Linked DNA regions of Drosophila melanogaster. The protein of the gene in region 2 interacts with the protein of the main gene of each other region in a pairwise test. Each region holds a gene or a part of one and is shown on either strand. Other genes may lie near its edges.

Region 1 (4,993 bases), 8.7 Mb from region 2:
TTGTTCGCTCGGAATGAAGTGGAATTTTATTCCGGTGGGTGGAAAACTTTCCTTGACGATTGAATAAAACGCTGAACTGTTGGGAGAACTCAAAAGCACAATACTATTTTAAAATAGTATTACCAAAGATGTTGGATACCATAAATGAGTTAAGCACAAACTCCATTTGTTTATAAAAATATAATGTGCAAATATGATTTCCAATTTATTTATCCATAAATAATGAAAACATTTAAACATAATATTTGAATCTTATAAATTGTCTCTTTAAATATTAAGTTCGTAAATATATTTGAACGATCATTTACAAAATTAATTTTCTTCGTATAGTTTTGGAGTCACACAAAACATCGGCGAGAAATTTCTCGCATGCGATAAACAGTAAATATTGCACTGCTTGAAGCAGTGCTTCGCAAACTTGCGGCGCCTCTCAAACTGCTATTGTTGTGCTCTCTCCCTGAAAATTTTCTCTCTTTGAATTTTCCATTCTGTTTTTCATTTGCGGACCTGCGCTTTTCATTTGCCGGCATTTCTGGAGCAACAACAAAATTCCAGCGCTGAGTTTTCCCCCTGCCATGCCCCCCTTTTCGTATTTATATATTTAGCTCTCATTAAATATTTTCAACTAGAGCGAAAGATACTTCCGTTTCCTGTTTTATAAAAATAGTACTTGCCATATATAAATATACATATTTACTATGTATATAAATATTTGTAACTATATATGAGGTAAATACTTACTTGACTTAATATAACTAACTAGAAAATAATTCAAACTCCTTATCAAATTCAAAGTAAAATTTGGGAAAATCTACCATTTAGTTCTTCTATATATTATTATATATAAGATTATACTAAAAGTTCACTTTTCCGAGCGCTCACTGTAGGGTGTTTTTGTAGTGGGCCTAAAAATAGGAGACGCCACCACTCGTGAAAATTCTTGAAGAGCAGTTTGGGAAATTCCTTACCGAAAAGTTATATATGGCCGAAAAGAGATTTGCCTTGCGCCATTGTTTAGTGAATTGAATTTTGGTTCAGTGTGTATTTGTTTTTGGAAAAACAAGGTGAAATTGCTTTTGAAGTGCGGTTGCTTCTTGTTTTTCTTTCGCTTCCCTCGAAAAGATTTTCATTTGCCGATTGCCTCATTGGATTTTGAGGTATTAAAGTTTTCGAGAGGGGAATTAGTATCGCATTATTTGGATGTTTCTGGTGCGGAATGCAAATTGATTTTCAATAGTTTTTCGACATTTTCCAGCTCGCCAGAGGAGGCGGCTTTCCACCCAAATTGGCAATTATCATCGGGTGGCGGAATTTGTGGGTGCGAAATGCAAATCAATGGGCAAATCTAATTCAATTTGAGTTCCTATAATCAACTGCTGTGAATGTGAAATGAAAGGCAGACGAAGTTCACTCGTCACTTGATTCAACGTCGTTTATTAATTTGATTTATATGACTTAATGATTAACCAAATATTTATCATATTGAAAAAGATTGACCATTTCGATTAAAAACAAAGATACAACTATATTATCTTTGTAATAATATTTCGATGCTGTTTATATAGCCACGTGTAAATACGATATGTTATCAAGAAATTTATTAATAGATATAAAATCGAGTTTGGCGCCAAATTAAATTTTGAATTTCCAGCCGCTCTCTTCTCGAGTGTGACCGCGCTGCCGACAAATGCCGCGAAACGGTGCAAATTCGGCCTTATCGGCCGCTAAGCAGCTGGCCACACTGCGGCATATAAACAATTTTTTGTCACAATTTTTTTGAGAGCAGACGAACGCACATCGAACGCCAATTGGGGATCGTAAAGTCGGAAAAACAGCGTCGCGCTCGCTTCGAAATAGAAAAAAAACACAATAAACATTAGGTCAAAATCGCATTGGCAATCTTTTAAGTTTCGATTTGATTTAATTTCGCGGTGCAAAGCGAAAGAGAATTTTGAAACGTTTGATTTTTGTTGTTTCGCCGCTCTCTTCGTTGTTGTTCTTTTTGTTGTTTTTTCCGGCGCGTCGTTTGGCGTTTTTAGTGTATGCGTGCGTGTGTGTGCGTAACTACGTGCAGCTGTGTGCGTGCTTCAGTTTGATTTAAATAAATTATTAGTGAAAAGCAGCTGAGAAGAGTAAAGAATACGAAAAAGTGCAAGTAAACGCAATAAAAATATTGCACATTAAATAATCAACAAGTGTAAGTGCAAAGCAAGTGATGTGCAAAATGCAAGAGCAGAGAAAAGAAAATAAAAGCAGAGAAAATGCAGAAAGGAAAATTGTTGTAACTTTTTAACAGCCCAATATCGAATTTAAGTGGCTATTAAAAATCGAAGATCGAGGCAAAGTGCAAAAGGCAACAAAACTACGAAAGCGCCCAAAAGGAAAATCCGGTTTTACAACTTCTCTCTTCACACACTAAACACACACATACAAAACACTCACACTCACACCAGCGAACAATCGAATTCTCTCTGAGAAACTAAAACTAAAATTCCTTTGCTGGGTTTTAATGAATTTTCTATGGGAATTTCACCAGCTAACGAGCAGCTAAAAAAATAATAATCGTAGATAAACAAATAGTGTGAATGAAAAATCAGCTGCGACAGGTGATGCAAAACAAAATACGCAAGGTGCAAAGAAAAAAAATACTTTCATGTGAATTCGATCACAGTGAACGCTCAGTAAAGAAGGAAGCTATTATCTGATCATATCATTATATTATTTAATTTAGAAAACAACTTTTAAAAATTACTTTAGATAATTAACTCATATGCTCATATCATTTGAAGTGCTAGAAAGTTTAAATAAATAGTTATCCATTTTAAAGCTCCACTGTATCTCAAGTATTTAAAAAACCATCCAGAAAAGTGAAATCAATAACAAAAGAATTTGAAAAAAGCGGAAAGAGCGGTCATAAAAATAGTATAAACAGAAAATAACAATAAACCAGTCAAAAAAATAAGCAGTTACCTGTCTCACTCTCTCTTTCCTTAATTCAAACATTTGCGTAAACAATAACCGCTTTACAGTAATTTCGGGCACCTGCTTTTTGTTTACACAAATGCATAAATATGTTGAATATGAATAAATTAATTCATTCAGCGTGTACGGGGCACGCTGCCTCGCTAAATGGAATTTTCACACGAAAAGTGGGAAATATGTGAAGAAAATATAGCGCCAACTTGTGTTATCTTATCCGTAACACAATTTTAATGATGGTGCAATTGAAAAAAATAGCAGAGAAATGTGCTACAATTGCTTCCTTATCAAAAAAGGTATTACCTGCCGGAAAGAGATAGTGGTAGTAGTGATAGGCGGGGAAAGAAAGAGATGGGTGTACGGTGTAGGAAATTACATATTTCATTATTTCCTCGCCCGATTTTTCCGACCAAATATTTTTATCTACTTACAATGTTGTCTAGACAGATTCCTTCGCTTTTCTTCCGTTTTTTTGTTGTGCCACCCATTTGTATATGTATGTACATAGATGTGTATAGGAAAAGTCTGGTAGTGGTGTGTATACTGCGAGATTTCGCACCCTCTCCTAGGATTTTCCTCTGCCGCCGCCTTTACTGCTTTTTGTTGTGCTCCAGACTTCAGTTTACTCCACTTTGCGACGACTTTCGACCCCCCCCCACACCCACAGCAGTGGCAGGCCCTTTTGTGAAGCACCCCCCTTTGCAGCATCCAGCAACCCCCAAAACGCATTCTCTGCTCCCTTTTATTGCCTTTCCTTGTTGTTTTCGGACAGTGGTGCTTGCCTAATTGAAACTAAGGCTGTCATAAGAAAAGAAGTCAAGACAAAAACTACACTTAGTTTATTCTGGGATTACCCAGCTATTAAACACAAATTGAAATATTGTGTAATTATAAACAACAGGACATTTTTCGAGATTCCAAATTCTTTGTTTACTGTAGAGCATCAGCTGTTATAGTCAGCTGACTCAACCGAAATGCACAGTGTGACCATGCTGAGCAACTAAAATAAAAAATTTTTGGAATCCCCGTCAGTTTACCATGTAGTTTACTAAAAATTCCTTAGATAATTGCATACTGTGGTGTTTGGCTTTGTGGGCGCCGTTTGCGCGCAATTTTAAATTTATGCGAACGTTCTGTCACCCTCTCTTTCTCCCTTCATATGCCCATCTCTTTCCCTTCTCCGGGATAAAGAAGTTTTGCCGAAACAACAAAAACAGCGGAGGATGACGACTCTTGTCCACCGTTTTGTTTGTGTTTTTGTCCATTGGTTTTTGCTGTCTGCCGCTGTTTTGCTTTTGTTGCTGCCATTGTCGTTGCAACGTCGGAAAGAGACGGAGCTACTGGGGAGCGACAAAGAGGGGTGCTGCAGACAGAGATAGCGAATTCCCAGTGAATTGTGAATTGCGTTCCATTAGCAGCAACCCCGAACACTTGTGCTTGTGGACTGTGCTGCATGGGCACAGTGGAATGGGTTGTATGACAATTGGAGGTATTACTGTGCACAATCGCAATATTTTCCCAATTTAATATTAGCAGATTGGCATTTAAAAAGGAATTTTTCTGTAGCTTAAACAAACCATTTCTGCACCTGATAGCTAATCCACCCCTAATTGCCCACTGTGCATCCCACTGTGCGACAGCTGCTGGTCAAAAGAGCTGATTGTTGTTGGTTTTGCCATTGCTGCTGTTTCGGTTTTTGTTGCCTTTTCTGTTTGTTGCTGCCTCCGTACTTCCTCCATCTCTGCCCCCCTTTCCTTCGTTCATTGAAATTTTCTTGCGGCGTTCGACAAATTTGTTGTTTAAAGTCGCGTGTGCTGGAAGTTGTTATTGGTATATTTTTGTTTTTTTTACGCTGCTGCTTTTACATAAACAATATTTTTTGTTGTACACAAAAGTTCTGCTTCCACCGTTTTTATCTGTGCGTTTTTTTCAGGATTTTTTTTCGCATTTAATTGGATTTGATTGCTTTTGGCTGGCGGCGGCGCCTCTCAAACGAAAAATCCATGAATCCGAG
Region 2 (5,931 bases):
TCAGTATGTATGCACATATGCACATGCACGCACACTTACGCACATACAGGCAGACATAACGGCGAAAGAAGGGCATGTCCATTGATAAAAGGTGAACAATATCTAAAAATAAACGCCAAATTCCAACATCACAGCCCTGCAACCGCCCATTTATCAAAAAAAAAAAAAAACCACCAACAATCGCCGTGTGCTAATCAAATGCGCCAACGTGTGCATCGTGTGGGTGTGTTAGCATAATGATTATGATGATTATTAAGATCGTTAATGGAGGCAACTACTCACTTGCCGCGAAAGCCAGCTGTTCCATATTGGATGGTCTCCTTGGAGGTCTTTGGGTACATCTCGCGGGCGAAGGCGTAGACGGTGCGCAGGTTAATAGACATCTTGCGATACTCGAGGGCGGTGCCACTGGTCCAGAGCGAGGTGAAAGGTTCCGTCCGGTTTTTCCGGACTTTCGAAATTTAACAATTCCACAGATGTGTGCAGGCGGGTGTGACCGTCGTTTCGCGGCACTGTTCCACCCTTGCTTATGCGGCCAAGCGGTCACACTGCGCTGAAACTTGTAACTACGCTATTTTCTTTAATTTCAAACATTTTACTGGCTTTATAAACAATACAGAGTGTTTTAAGGTTAAATGCAATATTTACCAGCGTAAATTTCAATAACATCTATGTTTCAAAGCGATGTTAGCGCACATATTCAATTTGAATTTGGCGGCTACAATTGCGGTCAAGATATTAGGATTCTTCAAATGATACTAATTCAAAATAAGCAAAATAACTCCTTTATCTAGTTATTTTATTTGTATACTTACATAAGCGGTTGTAAAAGATTCGGCTTACATCTCCTAGGTACATTTTTTGGACGGTCTTAGTTGGTATGTACACAAACAAATACTATAATAAGGCACAGGACTTTATAAATTATAAACTATAGCCTTCAACAGATATTTTTCGGCTAGTTAGAGTTTCATTTTCGGACGGAAGGGATTTCACATTTAACTTAATCATATTTGGAATGTAAAAATGTTGATATGTTTTCTCTTTGTGCTAGAGATGCTTGTAGAATTCTGAAATCTAAGTGAGTCTAGTGGCTTAGAGCATTGCAACCAGCGAACCCACGAGGAGCAGGCCCACGGATAATGCCAACTGGGAGGCACCAGCATAGCAGTCGGTGATGCGGCGTGCTCGCATAAAATCGCTGCCCAAATAGGCATCATACCTGCGCTTATTGGGCGGAATTACTTGCAGCTGCCGCGTGGCGTCCTGGAAGATCAGATCATAGTGCCCGATCGGCGAGGAGAACATGCTGAAACTGAAGGCGTCCACTTCCTTGCGACCGTACAGTTGTTGGGCATAGGTCAGCAGATTGATGTAGGCATTCATCTGGGTCTCGTTGTAGTTGACTCCGCCGCGGGTGACCACAGCATTGGCCTTAACCTTGCCCAGATTGCAGCGCTTGTAGTCCTGGATCTCGGCACGAGTACCATCCGTGCAGAGCAGCTCAAAGTCATCGTTTAGGGCATTCCTGGCCCACCATTCCTTGCGTTTGCCGCCCGTGCTTTCCATCACCGTGGTGTGCTTCATGAAGGCCACGTGACCGCCGCCCTCGACGAGGCAACGGAATGCACCCGTGTGCCCGTAGTATTCCTCGGAGGCATCGCGACGACAATAGCGATAGCTAGTTCCATGACACAGATCGCACATGCTGTCGTAGGGCACACCGGTGTTGTACTCATTGCTAATGGCACCCGGCACGCACGACTTGGTGAAGTACTCCGCGGCAGCTCGAACCGAATCGCATCCGTAGGGACGAATCCAGCCGTTCGAGATGAAAAGCGCCATCGGATATGTCCAGCCAGCGGCGGTGTTAATGCCCGTATGGCAGGTATTCTTACCCTTCAGGTAAGTTAGCTCCGTATCGGGATCATCCTCCTTGGCCACGGCAACCACATAATACTCGGGCTCGCCCAGATTGTACACCTCCGACATGAAGGGCACCAGGTCGTAGTTGAGGCCACCAGTGTAGACATCGCCGGCATCGAAAACGGAGATGTCTGCTTTGCCCGCTTCGATGAACTGCATGCAGTTGATGTGGGAGTGCATTTTCTTGCAGATGAGTTCTGGTTTCAGGAGGTGAGCTTTCAAGGCAGTCTAAAAGTGTTTTTGTAAAGGATCATCAACTCATCTTGCTATCCATATATTCACTCTTCAACTCACCCTCATCTTGATGCATTTATCAAGCTCATTCTCCGAAGTCACGCAAAGCGTCATCGCTGGAACTGGACACTCACGGATGCCGTAGATAAAGTTAATGGCAGGGCCTAGGTACTTGGTAAATGACTGATCATCTTCGGGAATCACGGTTAGAGCGCGACTAGAATCCTGTCACAAAACAATTGAATGTTAAGTATGTATTTCGGATCACGGAAAATATGATCCACTTACCTGGAACAGCAAATTTGGCTTGCCATAGCGCTTCGACTCGAAGATGCGGAACTTCTCATAGAGTATGGAAGTGTTCGTGCCGTCCTGCTGGTTTCTTTCCTCTGCAAAACTGCTGTCCAATCGTTCGCTGCGATACTGATCGTATTGATTCTGCGTTCTGTACGGATCATTATTATCGAACTGGCCATAGGCATTCTGATCGTTGATGTTGTTGCGGCTGTTGAAGCTTTGTCCTCCCTGCCTGCTCTGATCATCACGTGTGCCATCGGAGTACAGCTCGGCAATGCGCTTCAAAAACTGCTGATACTGCTTGCGATCGCTGAAGCTGCGAGCCGAAGATGTGACAATGGCATCGGCGGGCACTTGGCCCCAATTACACTGGCGATAATCGTTGATGGAGGCACGACGACCATCACGACACAGCAGCTCAAAAGTGTCGGGTGCTATGTTCTCTAAAAAACGCAGCTTAGATCAGTAATGGGTTTTCAGAAGTTTCCCTTTGGTAACTCACTGAATTCGGTGGTTTGCAGCATTTCATTCACAGTCGAATGGCGCAAGAAGGCAACATCTCCTTTTTCAAGCAGACATTTGAAGGCGCCTTCGTAGCCGAAGTAGGGATCTGCAGATGAGCAGCGTCCTCCGGGTATCTTTCCAGTGCAAAGCGTACAAAGTCTGGTTTGAAAATTGATTTGTTGTTAGTTAATGTGTGTAAAATTGTGGCTTTTATGCGTCATTACTTATCGGAGTTGTCGCCAATTGGATTGTGTTTGTCGGAAAGCGAGTACACAGCACACGAATTATTGAAATAGCTGGCGGCCGTCTTCACCTGGTTGTTGCAGTCCACCACTTCCATGCCGCCCTCCCTTTGGAGCTGCAAAACGATAAAATTTGTTTGTTAGTTGCCTAATGAAACAAATAAACAATCAACTTAAAAGAGGAGTTCTACTCACCGTGTGAATGGGCACAATCCAACCGGCCAAGCTGCCCACCCAGGGGAAGCACACCCTCTTGTTGCGCATGTCGCGCAGATTGTTCAAGTCTGGTAGAGATCCCTTCTTGATCACGGCTACGGATTGATAGTCCGCAAAGCCGCCCTCCAGTTTCTCCTGCATAATGGGTATGAGGGAGTTGTACCGTCCAGCAGTGAAGACATCGCCCGCATCCAGCGTGGTGATGTGTGCCTTCTCGCGATCAATGTGATGGATGCACTCATCCGCACTGTAGGCCATGAAGCAGGTGAGATTGAGGAACACCTCGTCGAATAGTGCCCGATCCCGCTCGATGGCCACCGTAAGGTTCTGGCATTTGTACTGCTCCGCCTGGCTCTTGGTGCACCACACCATCCGTGTGGTCTTGTGCTCATCGTAGTGATGTTGTGCTGCAAAATCGTGGTTTTAACTCATGCCAACGCCCTAGAAATGGGCGACTTTCGTATTCCAGCCGCAACTTACCGTTAGCGAGCGTAAAACATAAGGCGCCGACTAGAGCCACAAAAACGAGGCTGCTAGCCATATTCGGGATATAAGAATATTAATAAGTGTATTAACTAAAAAGATCTATCTGCAAAAACAATTACTCAAACAAAACACCACACCCAAGCCCAGCTCAAGGAAGCCAGTGTAACCAGAGCGGGCAGAAATAGACATGATTTCAAAAAATACCAACAGGTACACACAGTGGAGAATGCTTAAGTGAGATATGAATCAAGAAACATATTTAGCATTCAGGATATTTCTAGTTTAATCTATACCTATATCTATTTTTATTATATATACAGTAATCTTGTTTATTTATATTTTACTTTCTATCAGGTTATCTCTTCTGTAGTATTTACTGCACTTCACCGGTGACCACAGTAGTGTGACCACACACTTGGCGTTTTCTAGCATCTTACGGTCAACCAGGTGTTTTGTGTTTTATAATAACAAACCGAAAAGTCAGCTAAAATATTCCATATTTTAGCTAAATGGCAGTCCTGCGTGGTTGGAGATTCGTTGGATTCGTGTCCTGCATCGTGGGCGCCGTGGGCCTCACCCTATACCCCGTCATTGTGGACCCCATGGTTAACACTGAGAAATACAAAACCCTGCAGGAATACAGCAAAATCAAGAGAGATGAACTGCAGCACATTAAAAGGCAGTAGAACCCCCTGTTATGCTACACTTAAGAACCCAAATATGTGTATTCTAGTTTGCCTGATAAAGAACTGCAATGTACAAATTGCTATTAAAATAGAAACTATTTGTACCCTGACAGCATGAACTCCATGAATTAAACTGTTACCTATACATGCAGGAAAATCCAAATGATTGTGCTTGAATGTTTATACTCTCATTGTTTTAAATAGTAAACCTAACGTAAAAGGCAATTCAAAACATTAATTTTGATTGCACTTGGATTCCGGAACTGGTTCCCCTTGCCGGTGCATCGAAAGCTTTAGGGGATTTCTCACCACTGCGTTGCCGCTTGTAAAATTCTTTATCTCGAATCATACGTGGACATAAATATCTGGATATTAAACACCTGCTGATTTACCACAAAATTTAAATGCAAAATGACCACCGCCGCATTGAAGCGTGATGAAATCCTGCTGCTCTTCGACGTGGACGGCACGTTAACGATGCCCAGATCCGTGGTCACTCCGGAGTTCGAGGAGTTCTTCTACTCGCGGGTTAAGCCGAGGGCGACCATCGGAATCGTCGGAGGCTCGGATCTGGAGAAGATGTTCGAGCAGCTGAATGGCAGGAAGATACTCAACGAGTTCGACTTCATATTCCCGGAAAATGGGCTGGTGCAGATTGAGGGCGGAAAGGAGGTGGGAAAGCAGAATATCATCATGCATTTGGGCGAGGAGACGGTGAAGCGTTTCATCAACTTTGTGCTGCGCTATCTGTCCGAACTGGATGTGCCCATCAAGAGGGGCACCTTTATCGAATTCCGGAATGGCATGATGAACGTTTGTCCCATTGGCAGGCAGTGCACTCGGGAGGAGCGCAACATGTTCGCCGAGTACGACATTGAGCACAAGGTGCGCGAGAAAATGATCAAGGACCTGAAGCAGGAGTTTGCCGATGTGGATCTCACGTACTCGATTGGTGGTCAGATCAGCTTCGATGTCTTCCCGCATGGTTGGGACAAGACCTACTGCCTGCGACACATCGAAGCGCACTACAAGTTCAAGGAAATCCACTTCTTTGGCGATAAAACGGAGCCGGGCGGCAATGACTATGAGATCTATAGCGATCCTCGAACCATCAGCCATAGGGTATATACTCCCAAGGATACGCAACGCATTCTCACCGAGATTCTGGAGCTGTGAGAATTTCGAGCTTACTCAGCAGTTGAAAATATTCCATTTTTATACATGTGTACAATTGTTAACCAAATTTAATATATAGTCACTGGAAATTCTTAATCCGTGTCCATGTCCGAGCTGCTGCTGGAGATATCCTCCTCGCTGCCACTGCACTCCTCGTCGGAGCT

The links.
Region 1: the proteins of Tsf2 (region 2) and CG32264 interact in a two-hybrid assay, tested with the Drosophila melanogaster proteins (one large-scale study listed by BioGRID).

What each region holds. Positions count from the first base shown.
Region 1 is NT_037436.4:3,784,761-3,789,753, reverse strand, and holds the start of CG32264 (uncharacterized protein), read left to right. Parts: upstream 1-1,793; 5' UTR 1,794-2,197; intron 2,198-4,993.
Region 2 is NT_037436.4:12,529,653-12,535,583, forward strand, and holds Tsf2 (transferrin 2), read right to left. Parts: upstream 4,073-5,931; 5' UTR 3,961-4,072; coding exon 3,900-3,960; intron 3,827-3,899; coding exon 3,399-3,826; intron 3,320-3,398; coding exon 3,186-3,319; intron 3,121-3,185; coding exon 2,960-3,120; intron 2,901-2,959; coding exon 2,449-2,900; intron 2,386-2,448; coding exon 2,221-2,385; intron 2,155-2,220; coding exon 1,096-2,154; 3' UTR 784-1,095; downstream 1-783. Other genes in the region: nst (nesthocker), read right to left, coding at 283-383; CG34242 (uncharacterized protein), read left to right, coding at 4,415-4,591; Pmm2 (phosphomannomutase type 2), read left to right, coding at 5,003-5,767; CG4069 (uncharacterized protein), read right to left, coding at 5,860-5,931. UniProt on the Drosophila melanogaster protein: Iron-binding protein and component of septate junctions that form the paracellular permeability barrier in epithelial tissues.